Linked DNA regions of Ovis aries. The protein of the gene in region 1 interacts with the protein of each later gene in a pairwise test. Links are inferred from orthologs where the notes say so. Each region holds a gene or a part of one and is shown in the gene's direction. Other genes may lie near its edges.

Region 1 (3,937 bases):
AGCAAAGACCTACTGTATGGCGCAGGGAACTCTATTCACGCTCTGGTAATAACCTGTAGTGAAAACTAACGTTAAAGAAATACAGAACTGAATCACTTTGCTGCGTACCAGAAACTAACACGACATTGTAAGTGAACTATACTCCAATAAGAAGTATCCGAGCATAAAGTCTGTGCAAACGTCTGCTTGCAGATAATAATAACCACCACAGGTTTGTAGCATTTGCTGCGAGTCAGGTGCTATTTTAAGTATCAGATGCACAATAATTCATTTGACCCTCACATCGACCTAAAGATGTAAGCTGTATTGTTGGTTCCCATCTTCTGATGAGGTGGCTGAGGCACCTTGAAGGTGAATTGCTGGGACCAAGGAAAGACGGCATTTTTCTTTGATAAATGTTTGCAGTTTGTTCCATCCACACTGTCGCCCGTCTGACACAAGTAGCCTGTTCTGAGGCCATCCCTGGAGTTACCAAGCCTCTTTGATCTTTGCCAACTTGATGGGGTCAAAAATAGTCATGGGAGATCATTACTTGCTGTCATTTGACTGTGACTCCCTTGGGGTCACTAACCATCCTGATTTGTCTGGGAGTTTTCAGATTTGTCACTGAAATCCCATACCCCTAGAAAGCTCTCTATCCCCGGCAGACTGAGACAACCAGTTTCCCTACTTTGCCATGATTCTGTGTGAGGCTGAACATCTTTTTTGAGGTCCTAGGGGTTGGGAAGATCTCCTGGAGAAGGCCACGGCAACCCGCTCTAGTGTTCTTGCCTGGACAATCCCATGGACAGAGGAGCCTGGAGGGCTACAGTCCACGTGTTGCAAAGAGCCGGACACGACTGAGTGACTGACGCTAACACACGGGGTGGGGGAAAGGTCTTGGACAAGGGAGTTGGTCAGAAGATCTTTTAAAGGATAGAGTAGGAATAGGAGCTTACATTTAGAATGCTCCTTACAGCTTTTGATCTTGGCTTTATAGAGTCCCAGTGATGCTTTGACGACCTTAAGCAGAGGGCTGTTTTATAGGTGAGGAAACCCAGGCACAGACTGGGGGGATAAGTTGCCCAAGGTCACATATCTAGGAAGAGACTGAGGCGGTGATGAACTGGGGAGTTTGTGAGCACCCATCCTTTTCTCGCAGGCCCCCTGACCTGGGCCCCAGCATCCCCGAAGATCATGATGGCGTATATGAACCCGGGGCCCCACTATTCCGTCAACGCCTTGGCCCTGAGTGGCCCCAGTGTGGATCTGATGCACCCAGCTGTGTCCTACCCAAGTGAGTACAGTCATCCTCCCTGCCCCCCCACCCCCTGCTGGCCCCCACCTTCTGGAGTCCCTTGCCCTCAGGAAGCGGATGGGTACTTACAAGGATGACATCAGGGCCATACACCAGCCAAACGGGCTCATCTGTAAATGCAAAGCACACCCCACATCTCTTAGGGATGCAGGAGAGCGTGTGGATCTTCATAGAAATTTAGGACAGTGGTTCCCTTTCGGGTGAGGGAGGGAAACCATCTGGAAGGGGGACCCAGAGGAATTCCCATCTGTCAGCGATGCTTTATTTCTTAGCGAAGGAAGCGTTCTATTTTTGATGGTATTATCCTTTTGTTAAGTTGACCATTACGGTCCTGCCTCTTTTATAGGCTGGATATCCCCAAACGGCTGGATATCCCAAATGTCATGTTTCAAGTGAATGTCTTAGTGCAGAAGGAATTTTAGAAAGGGGATGAAAACCAAACTCAGATACCTCCTTACACAGGTAAAGCCAGTTCTCCTCGGGGCGAGGCAAGAGTCCCCCCTAAGGATACGCAAAGGGAGAACCCGTTTCCCAGGGGGACAGAGTGAGGTCTAGAAGTTGAGGGAATCAGCACCCCCTTAGTTTGGGCAGATGAACGCCCAGAAGAGGCTTGTTAGCATCCCATGCCTTCTCAGGACCTTGCGTCAGCAGATGCAGAGAATGGGGTCTCAGGTCACCCAGCAGTCCTGTTTTTCTGTCCTCACCCCAGGCGCCCCGAGAAAGCAACGGCGGGAACGGACCACCTTCACGCGAAGCCAGCTGGAAGAGCTGGAAGCCCTGTTTGCCAAGACTCAGTACCCGGATGTGTATGCCCGTGAGGAGGTGGCTCTGAAGATCAACCTGCCTGAGTCCAGGGTTCAGGTGGGGTGTTCTGGTCCCTGGGATCCAGAGCGGAGGAAAGAGGGAGAGGTCACAGAGGAAGGGCTGAAGTGTCCTGTTAATCTCTCATCCCCGTAATTTCGCTGGCTTCCTATCTGGCATGCCTATCCCCTCTCATTCTACTCCATGAGCACTGCCCCAGTCCTTCCTTCAGCATTCCCACCAAGAACACTCTTTGTTCCCTCTACCCGGAAGATATATTCCCTACACCCTGTTCAAGTCTTTGTTTATCAACCAATCTAGTCACCTTGCCAGTCAATGAGACCTCCACCGCCCTTGGCATTAGAAGCTGCAGCTTTTTCCCGCCATCCCAACTCTGCTACTCCCCCTCACTCTGCTCAATTGGTCCTCCCATAGCATTTATCACTTTCTAAAATTCTATGTGATTTCCTTCCTTACTATTTATTTATATGCTGTCTCTCTCAAGACTTCCCTGGTGGCTCAGATAGTAAAGCGTCTGCCTACAATGCGGGAGACCCAGGTTCAATCCCTGGGTCGGGAAGATCCCTTGGAGAAGGAAATGACCACCCACTCCAGTATTCTTGCCTGGAAAATCCCATGGACGAAAGAGCCTGGTAGGCTACAGTCCATGGGGTTGCAAAGAGTCAGACACGACTGAGCAACTTTCTTTCTTTCATTCTCTCAAGTAGAATGTCAGCTTCATTGGTGTGTCCCCAAAGGAGTAGAAGAATACATGTTTATTAAATAACTGAACGGATGGATGGATGGATGGATGCATGGATGGGTAAATGTATATGTGTGTTTGATTGTATATATGTATGATGCATATATGATTGTATATATGGATGTGTATGTGTTTGTATGATAATGTGTGTACATATGTACATAAGATCGGAAAGATGAAAGTATGTATCATTGTATGTGAGGTGAAAGTGTCAGCCTCTCAATCATGTCGGACTCTGCGATCCCACTGACTGTAGCCCACCAGGCTCCTCTGTCCATGGAATTCTCCAGGCAAGAACACTGGAGTGGGTAGCCATTCCCTTGACCAAAGCCGGGTCTTCTGCATTGCGGGCAGATTCCTTATCATCCGAGCCCCCAGGGAAGCCCATTATTGTGTGTATATACTTACAACTGTGCTTAGGCATGACTGTTATGTGTGTGCTTATGATTGGCTGGTGAATGTGCGTAGGTATGACTGTATGTCTGCATGCATATATGAATGATTCGGTGGACAGATGAATGTATAGGAGTATATTTGTATGTTACATGATAGTAGGTATGTACATATGATTGGCTGGAAGAATGTGGATATATGTGTGTGACCATGTGTGTGCCCGCAAATGTATGCATGTACAATCGTGTGCATTGTATATGATGGTGTATGTGTGGCTGTACAATCGTGTAGATAAATAGTTGGGTGGGTGGTGGATGAATAGAGTGCCCCATGTTGCTGTGTAGCTGCTCAGTCGTGTCTGACTCTCTGTGACCCCATGGACTGTAGCCCACCAGGCTCCTCTGTCCAAGGGATTTCCCAGGCAAGAATGCTGGAGTGGGTTGCCATTTCCTTCTCTAGGGAATCTTCCCGACCCAGGAATTAAACTCACGTTTCCTGCCTTGGCAGGCGGATTCTTCACCCCTGAGCCCCCTGGGAAGCCCCCTGAGTGCCCCACAGCCGATTGCAAAGTAGAGAGTTATGACTCTGGCATGCTTCACCGATAGGCATCACCACTCCTGGGCATCACGAAGGCTCCCCTGGGCCTCCTGCCCACTCTCCCTCCCTCATCTCCCCTCTCGCCC
Region 2 (3,500 bases), on another chromosome or scaffold:
TGTGTAGTTTTAAAGAAAATCCTAGAGACCTTTGCATGTATATTCATGATTTTATTAAAATGTATCATTTGATTAAAAAATACATATTATAAAATGTTTAGAATGTTCAGATCAGTAAAAATCCTTAAATCTCAGAGATAACCACTGTTAACATTTTTTGGTTGTATTATCCTTCTAAAATTTATATATACAGTTTACCTTGAATAACATAGGGGATCGGCACACCAACTCTGCTACGTTGAGATATCTGCATATAGAACCTTGGCTCATATAGTACTTACTTACTGGAAAAATCCATTTATGTGTAGACACAGTTCATATCTGTGTTGTTCAAGGATCAGCTGTGCTGTGCTTAGTTGCTCAGTTGTGTCCAACTCTTTGTGGCCCCATGGACTGTAGCCCACCAGGCTCCTCTGTCCATGAGGATTCTCCAGGGCCTTCCTCCAGGGGATCTTCCCAACTCAGGGATTAAACCCACATCTCCCACATTGCAGGCAGATTGTTTACCGTCTGAACCACCAGGGAAGCCCACGGTCAACTGTATATATTTACAAATATATAGATACTTGTAAACACATATACAACTCTTGTTCCTTTTAAGCTAAATTACTAAAGAATATAGCAATACCATTCTAGAGCTGAAAAGATTTTAGAAATGATAAAAGCCATTGATTTTTTTCCCATTTCCTTAATTTTTTAAGCAGCAGAATCCTGTCTTAATATATTAAATATATCATTGAAACTCTCTAATTGTAATTTGGATGGGGTCCTAGAGCTTTCTGCCTCTCAGTCTTTCCCATTGCCTGAGAAAGGAAGAAAAATCTGCATCTCTAAGCATCCTCGAGTTCTTACTAAAAATGATTTAGCTCTACCATCAATATTTTACACTGTATTAAAAAAGTTTGTGTTAATGAACTCCCCATTTTCTCAGTTTAAGTTTTTTTGTTTGTTTTCTCAGTGAAAACTAGATTTTCATATGCCTTTCCAAAGGAATTTCCTTATAAGATGAACCATGTAAGTATATTGTATAAAATAAAACTACTTGTCAAAGCTGTATATATAAACTATACCTCCATTTTATATTAAAATAAACTGAATAGTCTCCTAGAAATGGCAATTTAAAATTGTACGAGAATGTGGACTTTATTTCTAAATTAAAGCTAACTTGCTTCTACCATAAAAAAAAATAATTTATAGTTGTCGTTATTAACCCTGGGTACCCATTAAATCACATTGGGAGCTTTTTTTAATAATACTGATGTCAGGGGCTGTCTGGAAAAGATGAATTTCTATTGCCATTTTAATAGAAATATTCTTTTTCCACCTTGCAAGGGTTTTTTTTTTTTTCCTCTTTAAATTGTATTTTTGTTTCATTTTAGTACTCTCTTCTATTATTGATTTGTAACAAGAATGATATTTAAGTGGAGATAATTGTGTTTTTGCATTTGTTGAGTGGAAAGTGTATTGTAAAATCTGAAGTTTATACAGGATATTTTAAATAAAAACAAGTAATAAGAATGCTTATATGAGACTGGCTTTTCCTTACAAGAAATAAAATGTCTCATAATCACAGTTGCATGCATTGTGTAAAAAGTAATTTTTTATAGCATATATTCATTTTGACATAAGCTATTGTTTTCTTAAAAATATTTTAGAACTTTTAATAGCTATACATTCTTAAGTTAAACTAAGGCTCAAATTAATTTGCTTTCATGTTGACATTTATAATCTTTTCCAAACAGGTATTAGAATGTGAATTCTATCTTTTAGAATTAATGGTAAGTATATTTATTCCTTATGATTAATAGAGTAAAACTTACTTTCAAATTTAGTGAAGTCATAAATTTAAAGAAATAATTGTAGGGAGGTGCATTTTAAAACCATCCGAGTAATATGTGATGGTAAACCATAGTTCCTAGTGGCGTCATCACCTGTATGCTCTTGGAAGCCTGTACAGTTGTATATCTTACTTAGGATGGGAAGTGTTTTCTGTTCTATAGTAACTATAATAGGATTACAATCAAACCAGTCAGGACAGTAAACCACTGTAAATTATTTGCACAGTTTGTGTATATGTGTGGGGTTATTTAAAGATAGATTATGTCTTTGGCAGAATTCTGCTCCACCAGTTGGGAATTATGGATTTATAGGCTAATAAGAGGTTTCAGTGTGTTGCAGATGTGACACTTTGAGTCTCTAAGGGAATGGATGCTGACTGACTGCCAACCGATTTACCAAGGTATATTCCAGAGAGAGCACTGCCTTCACTGTTATAGTAGAGTTTAGGGCTGCCATGCTGCTTGCTTAAGAGAATAAGAGGGAAGCAAGCATGAGTTAGAAAAAAAATACATTTTGAAATATACTATTAAAAATCAGTTGGGTAATGATAAGGTTTTTGTGCTATAATAAATCTGTTTTTATACATACACATTTTTTAAACTGTTTCTAGGATTGTTGCTTGATAGTGTATCATCCTTATAGACCTTTGCTCCAGTATGTGCAGGACATGGGCCAAGAAGACATGTTGCTTCCCCTTGCATGGTAATTAGAACAGAAGTTATTCATAGTGTAACATGTTATTAGCTAGGAAGGTTGACAATTAAATATGAAATTTAGCATTTTTAAAGTAAGTAAACCGTGCCCCAAGATATTTTATGTTAAGTGAAATATCTGCTTATTGAATTTTAATAACTATATGGGAATAAATGCTAAAATGATAAAGATCTTTAAATTATTTATTTGATGGATATTTCCATTAAAATTTGATTCTTATGAAAAACAGACTGTTTAAATGAAAATTAAGATTTTATCTTTAAACAATAATGGAATATATAACTGAATCACTATGCTGTACAGAAGAAATGAACACTGATTTCAACTATACTTCAGTAAAATAAATTTTAAAATGTTATCTTTAATCAGAATATTTTGGGTGGTATTCAACATACATATTAATATTTTGTATAATTTCTAGTTTCCTAACTGATTTTCTAATTTTAGAAAAAATTTTATCTGTTAAAATTTATTATGAAGTTTTAAAAATTTAAATATATTTAACTGTAATTTTATTCAATAAATTGGCTTATTGTCACATTCATGTTATCCATCTTTTTCCTTTGATGTTTTCACCTTTATGTCTGTTAAAGTAATATAAAAGAGATATAAATATATACAGATAGGGAAAATCTGGCCCTCTCTGGAGGGAAATGTACAATCATATGAAGTAGTGATATTATGATTTACATTTCTATAGGAGGATAGTGAATGATACCTACAGAACGGATCTTTGCCTACTGTATCCTCCTTTCATGATAGCTTTAGGTATGTAAACGTGGTATACCTTTATTAGCTAAATTATTATAAACCTATTTAGGTCATCCTAAAAGAAATTTCACCCTATTGTGCTTTATGTTTTTATGTTCCTTGAAGTAATAGACTATTCCTTGCATGTGAGCTTTCAATAATATGAACTGCAACTGTCACAAATCAGGATTATTTCC
Region 3 (3,957 bases), about 42 Mb from region 1:
CTCCTCCCCCTTCTTCTTTCAACCTGGCTTCCTTTCCTCCCTTGAAATCTTTGATGTTAGTACCTGGATCTGAAGTTCTGTGTCTCTATAGGAGGTTTTCTGAGAGACTGTATTCTTGTATTTAAGGGCTTCCCTGGTGGTGCAGAGGTTAAAGCGTCTACCGGCAATGTGGGAGAGCTGGGTTTCATCCCTGGGTTGGGAAGATCCCCTGGAGAAGGAAATGGCAACCCACTCCAGTATTCTTGCCTGGAGAATCCCATGGACGGAGGAGCTTGGTGGGCTACAGTCCACGGGTTGCAAAGAGTCGGACACGACTGAGGGACTTCACTGTCACTTAATAAGAATTTTCCAGTTTGTTGTGATCCACACAGTCAAAAGTTTTAGCATAGACAATGAAGGAGAAGTAGATATTCTTCTGGAATTCTCTTGCTTTTTGTATGATCCAACAGATGTTGGCAATTTGATCTCTGGTTCCTCTCTGCCTTTTCTAAGGATACATAACAAACATCACAATACATAACATCAATTACACATAAAATATATATCACATATAATTAATATATATTTTTCTAGGAGCGTGTCTTTGAACCTGTGACGAACCTGGGAACCCCTGAGCTCGCCTGCTACTCAGGGGAACCCCGCTGCAGCAGTGGCCAGAGCCGCGCCCGGTGCAGCGGCCTTGCACACCTCAACTACAAGTCCCAGCATTCCATGCGCTGGCACGGGTCGGGGGGGATGGGACCACAAGTACCAGCAGGCTTCGCGCAGACGCAGGAACCACGAGTCCCAGAATGCACTGCTCGAGGCTTGCGCAGGGCCCTCCGGGACATGTAGTCGTCTATGGCGCTAATTCCTATTCATTAGGCCTCAAAGAAAATGCAAATTCCCCGAACGGTCCACCAACGCGACTTTTCAGGGGCTAGTGAGAAGCCTGAACGCGTGACAGAGAAGTAAGAAGTTTGGAGGCCAATCTGTGGCGAGGATGCAGGACCCGTGCGCATGCCCGGCGGTCGTCGGCGCCAGCCCAGCGCGGGCGGGAGATTCCGAGCAGCAGGCCCCGCCCTCGCGCCCTGCCCCGTCCCCGTTCCTCCTCCCGGTGAGCCTGCGCAGATGGTGCAGGGCGGAGGGCCGCGGGGAGGGACTCGCGGCGCCTGCGCAGAGCGGCGGCTTCTCTCGCGAGGACGGACGCCATTATCGCATCTCCCCGACAAACACCACGAGAATTCCGCAGCCCACACGGTAATTGCAGCTCCCGCAGCCGGTCGCGTCTCCACCTCCCCCTTCCCGCGGGGCGAGAGCGAGAGCGAGATCTCCCCTCCTCCCTCCTCCCTGCGCCCTCCTCCGGCCGCGGCGCCCGCGCCGCCGCCCCCGCCCCCCCGACACGGCCACCGGCCCCAACGGCCCGCCGTCCTGTGCGCCCCCGTCTCAGCCCTGTCAAGCCGCCTGCCCGCCGCGCCTCAGCGCACCCGCACCTGGCTCCGGCCGCCCATCCCCCGGCCCGCCGCCCCCGCCGTCGCGGTGCGCGGGGTCCGTCGCGGAGCGGGCCTCCCTTCCGGGACCAGGCCCGCAAGAGCAGCGTCCGGCCGCGGGCGGGCGGGGTGGGGTCGCGCTGCTGTTGCTGCGGTGTAGCCGCTCCGGGTCGTGAGGCCACGGGCTGGCAGGCGGCTAGGCGGCTCCCCCCCGGGAGGCCGGCGGCCGCGGACGCGGGGACAGCGGCTGCGGGCGGAAGTGCGGGAGGCGGCTGTTCTCGCTGGGCGGGCGGCGGGCCCGAGTGAGGAGCGGCCCTGGGGACCCCTGCCCGGTGCTCGGAATCTTCGAGCCGCCGGTAACGTTAACTCCGTGTGTTTAAAGCTCCTTTGCCCCCCCTTGTCTGGCGATTAAAATAAGCGTTTCCTCCTGGGACGTCGGGTCCTGTCACGGCTCCAATTTTGAGAAAGCTGATGCCGTGTGTGGGTCCAGTGCTGCGGCCAGTCCCGCCGGCGTTTCCAGCGCTTCTCATCGCGGCGGTCGGGTCAGGGGGACAGGGAGGTGGCTGCGGCCCACGGAGGGAAGGGGCTTCCCTGGGTCACACGGCCAGGTTTGAATGCGATCTGTCCCAAGTCCATGTTCTGAAAAAACTGCACACGTTTGATACTTTAATAAAGTAATGCCGCAAAGTGTCAATGGAAGACTATAAAACAACAGCCCCCACCCCACCTCCCAGTTCCACTCCTCCAAGACTTTATATTTTTGCTGTTTCATGAGGAAGTTCTTCGTTGCTATAAATAATAAGCTGGCACTTTACTGGTTTTATACATTCCTGACTTGCTGTTAACAGATAGGATGACTGACTTTTTCATATCGCGTCTCACCTCTATCCCCTGATCACTATGTTCAGTTCAGATTGTTTATAACTAAGCAGATATTCACAGCTAGGTAGTCTATTTCCCCTGTTATACGGGTTTTTGCTTTTTTCTGTTGTTTGTGATGGCCTTTCTTTTTCTTTGCACTTTTTGTTCCTGTTGACTCTTTACCTTTTATTATTTTTTTAACTATTCCCCGAGGCATGTGGGATCTTAGTTCTCTGGGGATTGAACCTGTTCCCCCTGCAATGGAAGCATGGAGTCTCAACCACTGGACTGCTAGGGAAGTCCCACTTTACCTTGTTTTAGATTCTGAAGGATGGCACTAAATCTCTCTTACCATCCCCCTCTCCCCAGCCTTGTGGTGGTCTTTTTCTAATCTGGATTGTTTACTCCTTAGACCAGCACCAGTATCATCTTGACATTTTTTTTTTTACTATATACAACTGAGTTTGTTCAGGTCTCGTGTTTTAATCTTGACTTCCTTTATTTCAGTGAGAACCTACTGCCAAGTAGCCTTATTCCTTTTGGATAACTCTTCAGGATCCTCTTTGGTATTAAGACATTTCCGGAATTCCCGAAAACTGTGTAGAGTCCTACTCTGACTGCTTTCTGACTCTGGGGACTTGTCCTTCAGCTCTGGAATCTGAAAGTCTTGTGTCATTTGAGAATGTCTTCTGCTCTGCTTTTGGTGGTGGTTTAGTCGCTAAGTTGTCCGACTCTTGTGGCCCCACGGACTGTAGCCTACCAGGCTTCTCTGTCCGTGGGACTCTCCAGGCAAGAATACTGGAGTGGGTTGCTATTTCCTTCTCCAGCTCTGCTTTTACTCTTCTGTTTTAGGAGTTTCTGTTAGTTTGATGATGGACATCTTGGATTAACCCTCTGAATCTTCTGTCATTATCTTCTTCCTGTGTCATCTTATTCTTGTTTCTGGGATAGAAACATTTATCCTCCAGTCCTACTTAAAAATTTTTCATTTCCACAATCAAAGTTTAATTTCTAAGGATTTATAATGTTCTTTTTTCATAATAATGTATTGTTTGATGAATGCATTTTTCTCCTTGACTTTGGGGATACTAGTAAGGGTTTTTTTGGTTCCCTTTTGTTCTCTGATTTCTTGTGTTCTGTTGTGTCACTGTTCTTTTCCTCTTTTTAAAAAGACGGGCTTCTTGCTTTGTGTGGCAAGTACTCTTCAAATACTGGAATTATTGTTGTCTAAGGCCAGAGGAAGCAGGCAGAGAACTCATGAGTTTGGGGGGCTGATTTTTTGGTCACACTCACATGGTGGCTTATGGAATTTTTGTTCCTCAACCAGGGATTGAACCTGGGCCCATAGCAGTGAAAGCATGGTGTCCTGACCTCTGGACCACCAGGGAATTCCCCCGTGGGACTGCTTTTGAAAATGTGCAGGTTTCCTATTGGGTTTTGGGGAACTTTTTGTTGTGCTGGGACCTCAAATGCCAGAAGGCAGATTTTCTCTGGGCCTCTCTGCTTAAGGAAGATGCCTTTGACTGGGGGCTGCTCCACTTGGTCTAGGGACGGCCCTTGTACAGCTCTTCGTACAGGGACCTGACTTCCATGTGCAGGCACAACCCTCACCCTCTCCTGGTTTGGA
Region 4 (3,500 bases), on another chromosome or scaffold:
ATTGCTATTCAGAATCTATTTTGTATCATATAAGTAATTTTCTGGAAAAGTATCATATGTGAGACTTAGCTAAAATTTATAGCCTGGTATTTATGCTTGTTTTAGTAGTAGTACCTTTATTTGTTACATTTTCTAAAGAGTTAGTAGGGTAGCTGAATAACTATGAAAATAGACTAAAAAAATGGAATGTATAAACTGCAGGGAAGGGGCTAAATGAAAATCTAGTACTTCCTTTTTTAATCTGCTGTAGAGCCAAGATCCTCAGTTACTTGAGCTTACTTGAAATATTCTCACTTTTTAAAAAATAAACTTTATTCATTTAGTTTAATTTTGACTGTAGTGGGTCTTTCTTGCGGCCCCAAGCTTTCTCTAGTTGTGGCACATGTGGCCTGCAGGCTCTGGAGCACGTGGGCTAAATAGTTGTAATGGCTTGCAGGCTTAGTTGTCCCATAGCTTATAGCATCTTAGTTCCCCAACCAGGGATTGAACCCCTGTCCCCTGCATTGGAAGGTGGATTTTTTTTTTCTAATTTTATTTTTAATTGGAGGATAATACTTTCAGTCCCCTGAAGAGCCTTTTTAGACTCTTCCTCCAATTCCCTCATATGATAGTTTAATGCTAGAGATTATTGTATGTCTGTTTATTCTAGTTCTTACTCTCTTTGGGGGTTTTATTGCCCTATTGAGAATATATGGCATAGATTCAATAAGCTTCTAGTCTGGCTGATTTAGATATGTCAAAACTGTATCTTGTGCTAAAGAAGTTAGCTGAAATCCTAGGTATATCCTGAATTTTGAGGTGGAAGTAGCTTAATCTTGAAGAACTTTGGATCATTTCCAGATCGCTCCAGACAGCTTTTTTAATGAAAAAATTCTTTGCCTTTTAAAAATAATATATCTGAGACATTAAAGGGTTTACGTTTTTACAATATAATGCTTCTGTGTCCAACCTAGTTTATGGAAAATCAGAATACAGCAGAAGGCAGTTTTTAACTTGGCCTATTAAGAATTTCTGCCATTAAGAGGAAGGATTTTTCTGTCTTAATTTATTCTTTCATGTATATGGCCTTATGTTTCTTACAGTGTGAAGCCTCATTTTAGGTCAGGTGGTTCAGAACATTCAACAGAGGGCACTGTGTCGTTGGGGGATGGACCATTGACCAGATCTGGTTCAAGGAACTTTGCAACTGAACGACATAATCCTGCAGTAACAGGGCATCAGGAACAAAGCTACCTTCCAAAAGAAACTCCCACTTTGCAGATGGAACAGAATGGGGACTATGGCAGGGGCAGGTAAGGAAATATGGTAATAAATATGGAAATAATGTATATGAAAATTCTTTAATCATAATATGAATATTAGAAGTCCATGATCTAGTGATTTTTAAAATTTAATTTTTCATATATAGTTATGCTAAAATTTTTTTTGTTCACATAATATGGGTTACTAGTTTTTCATAATTAAGAAATTTAGAATCCCTATAAAGAATATAACTCTGGGTCAGAGGTTTATAAAAGTTATTCTGAAGTTCTTTACAGTTCACTAAGGAAAGATTAGTATCTTAAGCCATCATAGTTTTAATTTCTGGCAACATGTGAACTGTGGGAATTGGGTTATATATTTATTGTCTACCCTACCTAAACAAAAAAACTGAATCCTGATATGCTCCTGATGTGGAGGGAGCACTGATAATGAAAATAGGACCAGTTTACTTAGCGGTGGTGGTGGTGGTAGGTGACATTTTCTGTAGATCAGTTTAGGATCCCTTCAGAAGAATATATATCCTTTAATAATAAAGGAGATTTAGGAAGTAAAAATTCACCCATCTTTGATAGAACATACACATTTGAAGAAACTTAATGAGTTCTCCTTCCTCCCCCACCCCTCACCCCCTTTTATCATTGTTAAAAGGAGAACTCTCTTCAGAGGTCGAAGACGTCGGGAAGATGAAAGGATCCCAGTAAGTTGTTGTTGTTGTTTTTTTTTAACTTTTAATTACATGTGTTCAGGGTTTGTTTGTTTCTTTGTTTTTCTTGTGTGATTTAGTACGGCCTTGAATTCTGGTATGTCTTTCCTCGATTTTGTTTTATTGGTTATAATATTCAGCAAAGATAATTATAGCCTATTTTTGACCCTGAAATATCCACCATCACCACCACCCGTCACCCTTAGAGCACACATGTAGTTAGAGATTTGACCTGTATTGCTCACTTAAAAAAAAAAATGTTTGAATGCCTAACCTAGTCACATGGTTTAAAATAAAATCCATGAAAATATTCCATGTAAAGTTTAATTATTGCTTTATTAATGGAGATTTAAGGAATTTCAATGTTTTAATCTTACAATGCTGTTACAAACAGTGCAGTGATAACCTCGTATAACCATCACTTCCTGTCTATGCTATAGTGTCTGAAGGAGAATCCCTGGAGGTAAGATTTCTGAGTCACAGTTCAGTAATTTACTGCGTGATGGCTTTTATAGGGTTTGTGTCAATTTTCACTCAGTGAAGAAAGTTCCTATTTGTCCATAGCTTTACAAAGTATATAATTTTTTGCAAATCTAATATAGTATGTGGTTCACTTTTAAAGCTCTGTTGGGTGATGTTGGAAATTATTACACTACTTACTTAGGGGCAATTCTCTACCTACTGCTGATTTTTATATTTCCCACTTAAGATTAAAAAAAATTCTTTATAGTTCTAGGCAGGTTTTTGAATCCTCACTTAGCCAGCTTCAAATTATTCATATTTTTATTTTTTGAGGTTTGTTCATGGTGAACGTTTGCCATCTCCTAACTGGAGTTGAGGAATAAAAATAGTGTAAGAAGCTGGGCATACACACCGAGGAAATCAGAATTGAAAGAGACATGTGTACCCCAGTGTTCATCGCAGCACTGTTTATAATAGCTAGGACATGAAAGCAACCTAGATGTCCATCGGCAGACGAATGGATAAGAAAGCTGTGCTGCATATACACAATGGAATATTACTCAACCATTAAAAAAGAATACATTTGAATCAGTTCTAATGAGGTGGATGAAACCGGAGCCTATTATACAGAGTATAGTAAGCCAGAAAGAAAAACACCGATACAGTGTACTAATGCATATATATGGAATTTAGAAAGATGGTAATGGTAACCCTGTATGTGAGACAGCAAAGAGACACAGATGTATAGAATGGTCTTTTGGACTCTGTGGGAGAGGGCGAGGGTGGGATAATTTGGGAGAATGGCATTGAAACATGTATATTATTATATGTGAAACGTATTGCCAGTCCAGGTTCGATGCATGATACAGGATGCTAGTGTAGGAAAGCATGGAGGTTTCAAGAAAACACTAGAATTTACATTTATATATGTGTGGAATATAATGCTTTACATGCATAAATAGTAAATTAATATACATATATAATAGTGTACTATATAGTGTTTGCGTAATATACCTAAAAATATACAGATACCACATGTTTGAGCAGTGAAAAGTGACCAACTTTTCAAGGA
Region 5 (3,931 bases), on another chromosome or scaffold:
TTTGTTCCAAGTTTTCATTTGTTCTGCTTTCCAAATCTGAGCCCTGGGGATAAGTGTAAGTAGCCAGTAAAGAAAAAAGGCAGGGCTGTTGCAGGTAGAGAAAACAGCATGAGCAAATGCACTGAAGTTGATGGTATACTTGGTTTTATTTCAGTGAAAAACTTGAGGTAAAGAATAGCCTCCAATAAGACTGAAGATCAAATCATAAAAGGTTTTGAGTGAGTCTTGGAGGGTGAAAATGTAGTTATATTTTTCATTTTAAGAATTACTATGTACAAAATAAACACTTTGCTAAGCTCTGATATACAGAATTGGTAATTTCTCTATCCTTGGGAAGCTCACAGTACAATGGGAGAGGCAGTCAGGGAGACAAATTATACTACAGTACAATGCCAGTAAAGAAACAAAGTTCCTGAGGGCAGATAGCTTACATTGAGACTGTAGTTTGACTTTTTTGATTAGTTCCATTCAACATTGCTAATCATCCTCAGCCTTACATTACAGGCAAACATCTAGATACCTTGGCAGCTGTTAAGATTAGGATAGCCTAGAGAAACTTGAGGAGAAGGCAATGGCACCCCACTCCAGTACTCTTGCCTGGAAAATCCCATGGACAGAGGAGTCCATGGGGTCGCTGAGGGTCGGACACGACTGAACGACTTCACTTTCACTTTTCATTTTCATGCATTGGAGAAGGAAACGGCACCCCACTCCAGTACTCTCGCCTGGCAAATCCCATGGACGGAGGAGCCTGGTGGGCTGCAGTCCATGAGGTCGCTAAGAGTTGGACACGACTGAGTGACTTCACTTTCACTTTTTACTTTCATGCATTGGAGAAGGAAATGGCAACCCACTCGTGTTCTTGCCTGGAGAATCCCAGGGACGAGGGAGCCTGGTGGGCTGCCATCTCTGGGGTCGCACAGAGTAGGACACAACTGAATCGACTTAGCAGCAGCAGCAGAGAAACCTGAGTCATCACCTGGTTTGACTTCTTTCTGAGCTTCGTCTGCTAGATCTGTGTTCATTGTTTCAACCTTCAGTTTTACGAAAACCAGTGATTTCTCTTTTCTTCCTTACAGGTGTAGAGAATATCTCAGTGGTGGCTACAGGTCCACCTCTGGGCTGGCTGCCATGTATCATGGGCAAATAGCTAGTAAAAGGCCCTCTAATCCCACACAGATGTACCAACAACCTCCGAGGCTTCTCATTGTGCATATTGCTCTACCATCCTGGGCTGATGTCTGCTCCAACCTCTGTGAGGCTCTGCAGAACTTTTTCTCTCTAGCCTGCAGCTTGATGGGCCCCAGCCGCATCCCTCTCTTCAGCTTATACATTGTACAAAACCAGCACGAGTGCATCCTCCCTTTTGTGGTGAGTATATCTATACTTGTTCATTTTATCCTGAAAGCAGAGGTGAGGGTTCTGGAACAGAGATCAGTTATTATTGCTTAAAGCAGTAACTGTGCCCGCTCCCCATACCCATAACTCACAGGCAACACAATGAGAGCCTCATATCATCCTACACACAGGGGATTTGTACTGAAGGAAGAGAACCCCAAAATTACTAATATGAGAGTGTAAATAAGCCATGTCTTGCCCCCCACCTCCACTCCTGAGAGAGAGAAATCTTGGCATTTACAGTCCTTTGGAATGTAAGCAGCTGACCTCTCTCATCCCCCTTGGAAATGTAAGCACAAGGAAATAAATCCCTAAACTTCTTCAGAAGTCTGTGGTTACTCTACCACCCTTTAATTTCTAAAACTTGTCTTTTGACCCAGGTTCTAGTTTTTTGCTCAGAAAGCCCCATCTGTGCGGAAACATGAAAATATTTTTTACACAGGACTCAGGTGAAACTCCCCCTAGTTTCAGAAGGCAAAGGATGGGCCAAGGGCAATGCTTTTACCAAGCTCCCTCACATATAGAAAACTCTTTTCCTCCTCAAACAAACTCAATTTTTTACTTCCTCCCCTTTACAAAGTTCAGAGTCTCAGGGATGGGAAAGACTTCAGTTCAGTTCAGTTCAGTTCAGTTCAGTCGCTCAGTCGTGTCCGACTCTTTGCGACCCCATGAACTGCAGCACGCCAGGCCTCCCTGTCCTGGAGTTCACCCAAACTCATGTCTATCAAGTCGGTGATGCCATGCAGCCATCTCATCTTCTGTCGTGCCCTTCTCCTCCTGTCCCCAATCCCTCCCAGCATCAAAGTCTTTTCCAATGAGTCAGCTCTTTGCATGAGTAGCCAGAGTACTAGAGTTTCAGCTTTAGCATCAGTCCTTCCAAAGAACACCCAGGACTGATTTCCTTTAGGATGGACTGGTTGGATCTCCTTGCAGTCCAAGGGACTCTCAAGAGTCTTCTCCAACACCACTGTTCAAAAGCATCAATTCTTTGGCGCTCAGCTTTCTTTGCAGTCCAACTGTCACATCCATACATGACTACTGGAAAAACGATAGCCTTGACTAGACAGACCTTAGTCGGCAAAGTAATGTCTCTGCTTTTGAATATGCTATCTAGGTTGGTTATAACTTTCCTTCCAAGGAGTAAGCGTCTTTTAATTTCATGGCTGCAGTCACCATCTGCAGTGATTTTGGAGCCCAAAAAAATAAAGTCTGACACTGTTTCCACTGTTTCCACTGTTTCCCCATCTATGTCCCATGAAGTGATGGGACCGATGCCATGATCTTCATTTTCTGAGTGTTGAGCTTTAAGCCAACTTTTTCACTCTCCTCTTTCACCTTCATCAAGAGGCTTTTGAGTTCCTCTTCACTTTCTGCCATAAGGGTGGTGTCATCTGCATATCTGAGGTTATTGATATTTCTCCCAGCAATCTTGATTCCAGCTTGTGCTTCTTCCAGCCCAGCATTTCTCATGATGTACTCTGCATATAAGTTAAATAAGCAGGGTGACAATATACAGCCTTGACATACTCCTTTTCCTATTTGAAACCAGTCTATTGTTCCATGTCCGATTCTAACTGTTGCTTCCTGACCTGCATATAGGTTTCTCAAGAGGCAGGTCAGATGGTCTGGTATTCCCATCTCTTTCAGAATTTCCCACAGTTTATTGTGATCCACACAGTCAAAGGCTTTGGCATAGTCAATAAAGCAGAAATAGATGTTTTTCTGGAACTCTCTTCCTTTTTCCATGATTCGGCAGAAAAATCTCCTGGAGAAGGGAATGGCAACCCACTCCAGTATTCTTTCATCCCCCACCCACCCAAAAGACTTCAGAGATTCTAGTAAATTCCCTTCTTTCCTAAGACAGCCTTGCTGTTGGTATAGTCAGAAAAGAACCAATGGAAAGCCAGGACTTTGATTCCTACCTAGTGTGAATAAGACCTCCTCCCACATAGTGTCCATGAAGCCACATGGTAGCCTGGACTCCCCTCAACCCATTCAACTTTAACAGGGTAACTATTTCACCCCCTCCCTATTGAGGTGGTATTGGAGGCAGCAGAGTGGAGGCCATGTGGGGAGTGGCAATGGGGCATCTTTTTGCCTCCAAGGCAGAGTGGTGTCAGTGAAAGCCTAGTGGGAAGCCAGAAGTTACAGGAGTTTCTTCCTAGTAAAATGCGTAATGGTAATGAAGCTTCTCTATTCCCAGAGTGTCACTGGGGGGCATATGAGGAACCTGAACTTCTACCCCCACCCAGAGATAACAAGACACTCTCCCTTCTGGGATATAATTAGAGACCAAATAGAGTCACACCCCAGTCTGGCAATAATTATGTGGAAACCACTTCCTTCACTGGTGCAGTAACAAAAAAGTCCTGCTAAAACAGAAGATTTAAACAGGATTCATTCTTACAGCATAATACCCAAAATGTCCAGAATACAATAAAAAAAAAAAAAAAACCTCCCATGATTATCAAGAAACAGGAAAATCCAAACTTAAATGACACAACAAACATTGAGATAACACAGATGTTAGAAT
Region 6 (3,367 bases), on another chromosome or scaffold:
GCCCCCAGTGAGGGGCGACGACCAGGCATCCTGAGGAAAGAGGCAGCAGGCGTCCAAACCAAACAGCACTCTGGCCAAAATCTATTAAACCCACACAAGCTGTGCAGGGGTGCTCCCACTTGTAAATAGCCGTCCGAGACTACAGTGCTTACTTGTTTCTTCTAAACCCAGAGTAAGAGAAATGTAAGTAAAATGAAGACGCAGAGGAGGCACTCCCAGTAAACAGACCCAAGAGAATTCCCCGAGAGAACAATGAAATACAGGCCTCTTCAGTCTAGTAGACAGCAGGTTCAAAAAGGAGGCAGTGAAAATAATTGAAGGAATTAAGAAGGGCTAGCAACATAAATGCAGATTGTTCTAGGAAGGAACTAGAAACTATAAAGAGGAGCTGAGAAAAATTAGGAAACTCACTTGCTGAGATGAAAGCTAAGCTGAAGGCAATGAATAGCAGAATGAATCATGAAGAGAGAATAAGAAAAGAATAAGTGTTCTGGAAGACAGAATAATGGAAATTACCCAATCAAAACAGCAGACAGGAAACCAAATGAAAAAAAAAAGGGCACTATAAGATCCCTATGGGATAAAATAAAGTGGGCCAGTCTATGCATAATAGGGATTTCAGACGGGAATGAAAGAGAAAAGGGGATCAAAAATGTCTTTGAAGAAATTATGACTGAAAACTTTGCAAATCTAAAGAAGGAAACACATCTCCAGGTACAGGAAGCACAGAGGATCCCAAACAAACCTACACCAAGACATGTTATAATTAAAATGACAAAAGTGTGAGGATTCTAAAGGTAACAAGAGAAAAACAGTTAATTACAAGGGACCCTCCCCCCACCCCCATTTGGCTGTCAACTGGTTTCTCTACAGAAACACTGCAGGCCAGAAAGGAGTGGCAAGATATATTGGAAGCGCTGAAAAGGAAGAACCTGCAACCTAGGATACTCGACCCAGCAAGATTATCATTTAGAATAGAAGGAAAGACAACTTCATAGAAAAGCAAAAAGTAAAAGAATACAGCAATTACTAAACCTATCCTAAAAGAAATAATGAAAAGTCTTTTCTAAATAGACATCCAAAAAAGTTCATTCTCTTCAAGTGCACATACTAGGACACAGAGCTAACCTCATTCACTAAATAAAGAGTATAGAAATCAGAAATCAACTACAGGAAAAGAAGTGAGAATGATTAAATAGAAACTGAACAGTATGCTACTAAAAAACCAATCGGTCAATGAGGAAATAAAGACTACTACCTCACACAGGTCATTTAAAAAGGCCACAAATAACAAATGTTGGAGAGAGAGTAGAGAAGAGGGAACGTTGGTGGGAATGGAAGTTGCTACAGCCACGGTGGAAAACGGTAGGGAGATTTTATTTAGAAAGAGAATCTGACACTGTGAACTGCTCAATCCAGATTAGCTTGGTGGTGGTATGTTGCTTCTGGGCCTACATAACTACTTGTTTTGTTAACATTATAAAATGTGGGTTCTTCTTAGGCAATCCCTAATGGACCGGCCTGGTGTTGGTGGCTTCTTGCTGTCCTTCCCGTTGACCCCCGCTATCAGCTGTCGGTTTTGTCAATGAAGTCTTTGAAAGAACGGTTGACAAAGATACAGCATATACTGACTTATTTTTCCAGAGACCAATCTAAGTAACCAACTGCTTGGATCCTCCTCTAAAATTACCCTAATCTGGCTGGGGTGACGGCCAGGTTGTCCGCTGCCTTTGCACATCCAGTGCTGGTTTGAGAAACGTAAGGAAACTGTTTTTTTGTTGTTGTTTTTTTTTTTTTCTTCTTCTTCAGCCTCCTGAGTCATGTGGTTCTGCAAACGAATACCTTCAACTAGGATTTAGACCACTAAGAACTTGCACAGAAAAACACACACTGAATGTGTGTTGAACCTCTACATTGTGATGAAGTTGCACTATGTACCATACTCTAAATGAAATGAGAACTGTGTGTGTATGTGGGGTGGGTGTGTGCGTGTGTGTGTCTCTGCACGTGTGGGTAGTATGAGTGCATTTTCTCTGGCTTTAAAATTTAAAAAAACAAAAAAAAAGCCATAGAGAGCAGTACTTGCCGAGGGTCATTTATTGCCCAAGTTTACAACAGTAGCGATACAAGTTTTTGCAAATTGAATTTGCCTCAGATTTCTCTGTCCTAATGCTTACTTTGCACAAGTATTTAAGCTATGGTATTGAGTATCACTCTTTGTCGGAAATACCGCTCTTGCTGAACCGTCTTGACCATTGACTATGACACAGTTTCTTATTTATGTAAATACTTGCATCCCAATAGCCGATGGGCATCGGATGCAGAACCTAGAGCCAGTTTTCAGGAACAACTGCAAACCTGACTTGGTACTGTGCATCTATTCATAAAACACTTAAAACTGTGAAAATATGGTTTACACTTAACTGTACATAAAGGTAAATGGAGAACTCAGTTCAGTACCAGTTCATTTGTACATTTTAGGGGGGGGCTTTTCACATTAACTGCCCATCTGTGTAATTTATAGTTTGACATGATGTGTTTGTTTAAAAAAATTACATAGTATAAACCCATTAAGGATCTGAGGGAAGAGAAGAAGCTTAATGTAGAACTAAGCTTTTAAAGTATGTTTTTTTTTTTTAAAATCCTGGTCTTGGTGCCAATGTTAGTTATGCCTTATTCATATCACAGTTAGGTCACTATGCTGTGACATGGTCTGTATTCATGCTGCCCTAGATACTTTTGTAATTATTTGTTGCAGACTTGTGACTGTCCCTCTTAACTTTCTTTTATGTAAGTAATTTGTAAAAAGTTTCTTAAAAATTTTGCTTTTGCTTATTTAATTTTGAATAAAAGCTAAATTCATAATACTTTTTTCTTAATTATTAGGTCAGTGTCAAAAAAAGAACATTGAGTTTTCTTTACTGTTTTGTGTTATGAGATGTAAATAATACAGCTTTCAAAATATTTTTGAAATGTTTTTTTGGTCGTCTTTTGACCAAACAGTGAAGTGTCTTAAGGAAGCTCTAGGCCCATCCTCTAAAACACATTTTGCAACCTCTTAAAAGATTGGTCCCTAGTTGCTATATGATTCAGGGAGCTCAACCTGGTGCTTTGTGACAATCTAGAGGGGTGGGTCGGGGTGGGAAGGGGAGGTTCAAGAGGGACAGGACATATATATACCTTTGGTTGATTCATATTGATGTATGGCAGAAATGAACACAACATCGTAAAGTGATTATTCTCCAGTTAAAAATAATTTTAAAAAAATCTATGTCCCTTAAGGATAAAGATAAGACTCTTACTGATTCCTCTTGACCAAAGTTTTAACTAGTTAGGTCCCCAGTAGCCCTAGAATTTTTCTCAGCTA
Region 7 (4,134 bases), on another chromosome or scaffold:
AACTTAAACCCCTTCCATTGGTTCCTTGTATTGGGCCCTTCCAATCACCCTAAGGAAGTGGGCGCACAGCTAAAGAAAGCTTGGTCTCAGCCCTGGGAAGCCCACAGCGCCCTATGCGCTCACCTGGTTCTTCCAGTCTCCAGAGCCTCTGCAGACGCAATGGGTGTAAATACGATTTTGTTGTGATATTTCCACGACGATTTCCACGCGGTTAGGGAGGAAAAAAAAATACTATTTTTTAAAAGGGTCGTTTCATGTGGATGGCGACTGAGAAATCTCCGAGCCTCAGATCCTTTTCCTAGCAGAAAGAAAACAGGCTCAGAAGTAGCCAAGGCGGCAGAGAAAATACAGGTTTGGGGCGCTTGGGGGCCGCAGAGTTCCCCCCCTCCTTCCCCTTCCCCCTTCCTACCTGATGCGAAGAACTGACTCATTAGAAAAGACTCAGAGGCCGGAGAAGAAGGGGACGACAGAGGACGAGATGGCTGGATGGCACCACCGACTCAGTGGACATGTTTGAGCAAGCTCTGGGAGATGGTGAAGGATAGGGAAGCCTGGCATGCTGCAGTCCATGGGGTCTCAGGGAGTCGGACACGACTGAGCGACTGAACAGCAACATCAGCCGGAACAAAATCCCCGAAAAGAACGCGCCCCAAAGCTAGTAGGCGCGCATCTTCTCGGACAAGGGCGCGCGGCCGCCCAGGCGTTTAGAGGTGGTTCCCGAACTGCCTGGGGACTGAGTATTACCTCTTGGGCATTTTGCTGGAAAGGTTCTGTCTCAAAAGCCTCTCTCTAGATCCAGTAGGAAACCCCAGAGGTGGGGCGCAGTTAGGAAAATGAACATGAGTTTCAACTTTAACTAGACATTTCAACCTCCCCCGACTCTGGCCCGTCTAGGCTTCAGTTTCCCGTCACCTTGAGTCCTCAGGTCCACCTCCCCTCCGTCCCTCGCCCTGCCTGGAAGTGGGGAACCGGCCCTGCAGGTCCCTGGAGGGTGGGAGCGGGCGGGCGGGGAGCGAGGAAAGGCGGAGCACAGCGCGCGGGGCCGCGGGGCGGGGGTGGGGGGAGCACCTTTATAAACGAGCAGGCAGCTGCCTGGCGCCCGCGCTGTGCTCCAGGTGGAGACTTTTCAGCACTGCCACCAAGAACAGGGCTCCACCCGAACCGCCCCGAGCCCTTGTCCGCCGCTTCTGCATTTCTAAATCGGCCTCTCTGTCTGTCTCTCTCTCCACTTGCTTTTAAAACAGCGGGAAAACAACCTTGGGCTGCTCTAGGTTGGTTTGTTTTTCTTGTGTCTTTCAGGACACTTGGCAGGGAGCGCCCGCGAGGAGAACCGGATGCCGGCGGCGGAGGGGCAGCTGGCGGACTGCGCGTGGTCCTACGGGATGAAGCTCAGCTGGGACATCAACGACCCGCAGATGCCGCAGGTGCGTGAAACCCGCTGCGCGAGCCGCTCTCCCTCCAAAGAGGAGGGATGTCTTGGCAGAGCCTGTGGACAGGCCGCCCTACCCTCCTCCTCCCTCCAAAAAAACACATCCCTGAGAGCCCGCCAATGTGCAGGGACTCCACAAATGGCGGAGCTGGGGCTAGAGATTGTCTTCTCCCACCTGTTTCCTCGAACCCTTTTGAAAACACAGAAAGCAGCAGGAACCGTCAATTAGGCTCCACGTTTCAGGTCGTCTGGCCGCCGGGAGCCTGACACCGCGTCCCCCACTTTCTTTTAACTGAGGTAGGAATCCGCTGACTCTTGCTTGTCCATTCTTCGACATCCACTAGAAAGGTGGAGGGGCATCTTGGTGAATGCAGATGCCACCTCTTCTCACGCAGCGGAACTGAGATAGGACCATAAATTGCAGCGACCGAATCTTAAACAGCAGGACTTGGGCCATTTATCCTGGCTGCTAGGATGAAGCGTGGCTCTTGAGGGGCTTTGCAGTCGCGCTAACCAGGTCGCAGGCGCCCAGACAGCCTCTGGAATCCAGGTTTTGGACACAACTTCTGAGCTTACTTCTCTAGTGAGGAGGAAATCAGTGTCATCTGTTTAGGGTGAATTTAGGGCGAATTTGTTTTAGTTTTTAACAGAAAGAAGGTGTCTCAAGCCAAGTCCCCAGAATGGGCTGGGCCATTATGCTTGGTCACAGTGGTTGGGAGCAAAAACTGCAGAGTGACTTTAAAGTCCTGGGTGGAGGTGGAAGGAGAATTAGGAATGACCTGGAAACATTTGCAGAGGTGGACTTCTGGCAATGCCCTGGTACAAGGGGTGAGAGAGACTTGACCTTTATTCAGCATCTATTATGTGCCATACAGCTGTTCAGGTGGACAGCAATTCATTAGCAACGTTGGGTAGCCTCTCAAAGAGATAAGTACTTTGGGGTACACATTCATGGAAATCTGTTTGTTTTCAAGCCTGCCTACTTTAGGGTCACACTGCACCATTCTGTGAAAGTGGACCACAGTACAGCTGCGGCATCTCCTTCCCACTGACCTCTGTCCGTGTAAATCCCCACGGGGGCTGGGGGGAATCTGTTCTTGTATTTTAGAAAAGAGCCATATCCAAATAAGGGAAGGATGGGTTCCCTCACAAGCATTTTCTAGACTTCCCATGTAAATGTGAAGAACTTATCCTCTGAGAGATTAGTCCTTAAACAGAGTGAGTGTGCCGTCTCTAAAGAGGCAGGTGCTCTGGGTTGGAGAACGAGGGTCCTGCTCCGGCTAACCCAAGGAGAAAGGGCTACACTCACAGTGTGACATTGAATTTGTCACATTGTGACATCCTGAATTTGCCTTCGTCTAGGGTCACTCACTTGTCATTAAGCAGTGGAATTAGATAACGGTCTTAAACTCTCATCCTGTGCATGTTTAGGACACTATAGTGTGAAAACAGACCAAACGTAGACAAATGTACATGGCCGTGTTCTAATACCACTTCATCGTGGATAGCAAAATTTGGATTTCGTGTGACTTTTCACGTGTCACAACATATAATTCTTTTGATTTGTCCCCTCAATCATTAAAAAATGTCAAAATCATTCTTAGTTTGTGAGCTGTACTAAAACAAGTGGGAGGCTGAATTAGGCACATGGTCCCTAGTTTGCAGACCCCTGCCATAAAGAGTAGCTGGTAAATAGTTGAGTGTGCAGGAAAGGGTAATTTTATATTAAACTTATAACAAGAAAGACATCGCAGTATAAATAATGCATAATATGGACAAGGACCACCAAACATGAATAGGAAAGCGGTGTTCATTCTTTTAGATATCACATTATTCTAGCCAGGCAGCTCTTTGTGTAGGAGAATGACAATCCATATTGCTCTGGAGAGAGGACCAGGACCTAGCAGGCTCCACCAAGTGCTCGGGTTTACCTTATATCCAGGCTGTCATCATAATACCCTTGTAAACCTGGAAGGCTGGGCTTCCCAGGTGGCAGTAGAGGTAAAGAACCTGCCTGCTGGTGCAGGAGACATTAGAGAGAGACGCAGGTTCAGTCCCTGGGTAGGGAAGGTCCCCTGGAGGAGGGTATGGCCATCCACTCTAGTATTCTTGCCTGGAGAATCCCATGGACAGAGGAGCCTGGGGGCTACAGTCCATGGGGTGGCAAAGAGTTGGACACGGCTGAGTGACTCAGCACGTATACATGCAAACCTGGAAGGCTACTTTGGGAAGCTGTTCTTGTCTCTCTCATGTTGTACTGGGTATCAAGCCAAGAGCTTTGGAAGAAAAACCACTGGATGGAAGAAAAGATACAGGCTCAAGTGTATATCAGTGAAGAACTTTCTAACCACTTTCTGCCCTGGCACTTTAATACTTACCTTAAAAATATTTGTAACATGTGAATACACCAAGAAGTGGTATAACCTGGTGGTAAGGAGGACAGGCTCTGGAGTCAAACTGTGTGGGCTCAAATCCTACAGCCAGATCTTACTAGCTGTGTGACTTTGGGCAAGTCGATGAAGCTCTCTGGCCTCCGTTTACTATTCAGTTAAATAGGGACAATATTGCGCCTATTGTCTGTGGGCAGTGTGAAAGCTAAAACTAATACCTGTACCATTTTTGTAGGAAGTGGTATAGAAGCATCAGTTTATAGCCAGTTGTCAGAAGGGGACACACACACAATGAGTGACATTTTGTAAGAGCGC

The links.
Region 2: the proteins of CRX (region 1) and CCNC interact in binary tests that used the Homo sapiens proteins (3 or more experiments, as listed by UniProt). The two-hybrid records come from large-scale screens. The link is inferred for Ovis aries from reciprocal best matches to the Homo sapiens genes CRX and CCNC.
Region 3: the proteins of CRX (region 1) and BANP interact in binary tests that used the Homo sapiens proteins (3 or more experiments, as listed by UniProt). The two-hybrid records come from large-scale screens. The link is inferred for Ovis aries from reciprocal best matches to the Homo sapiens genes CRX and BANP.
Region 4: the proteins of CRX (region 1) and LARP4 interact in binary tests that used the Homo sapiens proteins (3 or more experiments, as listed by UniProt). The two-hybrid records come from large-scale screens. The link is inferred for Ovis aries from reciprocal best matches to the Homo sapiens genes CRX and LARP4.
Region 5: the proteins of CRX (region 1) and M1AP interact in binary tests that used the Homo sapiens proteins (3 or more experiments, as listed by UniProt). The two-hybrid records come from large-scale screens. The link is inferred for Ovis aries from reciprocal best matches to the Homo sapiens genes CRX and M1AP.
Region 6: the proteins of CRX (region 1) and LONRF1 interact in binary tests that used the Homo sapiens proteins (3 or more experiments, as listed by UniProt). The two-hybrid records come from large-scale screens. The link is inferred for Ovis aries from reciprocal best matches to the Homo sapiens genes CRX and LONRF1.
Region 7: the proteins of CRX (region 1) and GCM2 interact in binary tests that used the Homo sapiens proteins (3 or more experiments, as listed by UniProt). The link is inferred for Ovis aries from reciprocal best matches to the Homo sapiens genes CRX and GCM2.

Annotation. Positions count from the first base shown.
Region 1 is NC_056067.1:54,473,051-54,476,987, forward strand, and holds the start of CRX (cone-rod homeobox protein), read left to right. Parts: upstream 1-1,137; 5' UTR 1,138-1,176; coding exon 1,177-1,276; intron 1,277-2,006; coding exon 2,007-2,158; intron 2,159-3,937. UniProt on the Homo sapiens protein: Transcription factor that binds and transactivates the sequence 5'-TAATC[CA]-3' which is found upstream of several photoreceptor-specific genes, including the opsin genes.
Region 2 is NC_056061.1:37,546,097-37,549,596, forward strand, and holds part of CCNC (cyclin-C), read left to right. Parts: intron 1-958; coding exon 959-1,014; intron 1,015-1,742; coding exon 1,743-1,778; intron 1,779-2,449; coding exon 2,450-2,541; intron 2,542-3,253; coding exon 3,254-3,321; intron 3,322-3,500. UniProt on the Homo sapiens protein: Component of the Mediator complex, a coactivator involved in regulated gene transcription of nearly all RNA polymerase II-dependent genes.
Region 3 is NC_056067.1:12,929,398-12,933,354, forward strand, and holds the start of BANP (protein BANP), read left to right. Parts: upstream 1-1,157; 5' UTR 1,158-1,825; intron 1,826-3,957. UniProt on the Homo sapiens protein: Controls V(D)J recombination during T-cell development by repressing T-cell receptor (TCR) beta enhancer function. Binds to scaffold/matrix attachment region beta (S/MARbeta), an ATC-rich DNA sequence located upstream of the TCR beta enhancer.
Region 4 is NC_056056.1:135,859,144-135,862,643, reverse strand, and holds part of LARP4 (la-related protein 4), read left to right. Parts: intron 1-1,082; coding exon 1,083-1,292; intron 1,293-1,911; coding exon 1,912-1,960; intron 1,961-3,500. UniProt on the Homo sapiens protein: RNA binding protein that binds to the poly-A tract of mRNA molecules. Associates with the 40S ribosomal subunit and with polysomes. Plays a role in the regulation of mRNA translation.
Region 5 is NC_056056.1:96,481,242-96,485,172, reverse strand, and holds the start of M1AP (meiosis 1 arrest protein), read left to right. Parts: upstream 1-1,131; coding exon 1,132-1,371; intron 1,372-3,931. UniProt on the Homo sapiens protein: Required for meiosis I progression during spermatogenesis.
Region 6 is NC_056079.1:23,438,124-23,441,490, forward strand, and holds the end of LONRF1 (LON peptidase N-terminal domain and RING finger protein 1), read left to right. Parts: intron 1-1,501; coding exon 1,502-1,660; 3' UTR 1,661-2,867; downstream 2,868-3,367.
Region 7 is NC_056073.1:44,530,351-44,534,484, forward strand, and holds the start of GCM2 (chorion-specific transcription factor GCMb), read left to right. Parts: upstream 1-1,334; coding exon 1,335-1,424; intron 1,425-4,134. UniProt on the Homo sapiens protein: Transcription factor that binds specific sequences on gene promoters and activate their transcription. Through the regulation of gene transcription, may play a role in parathyroid gland development.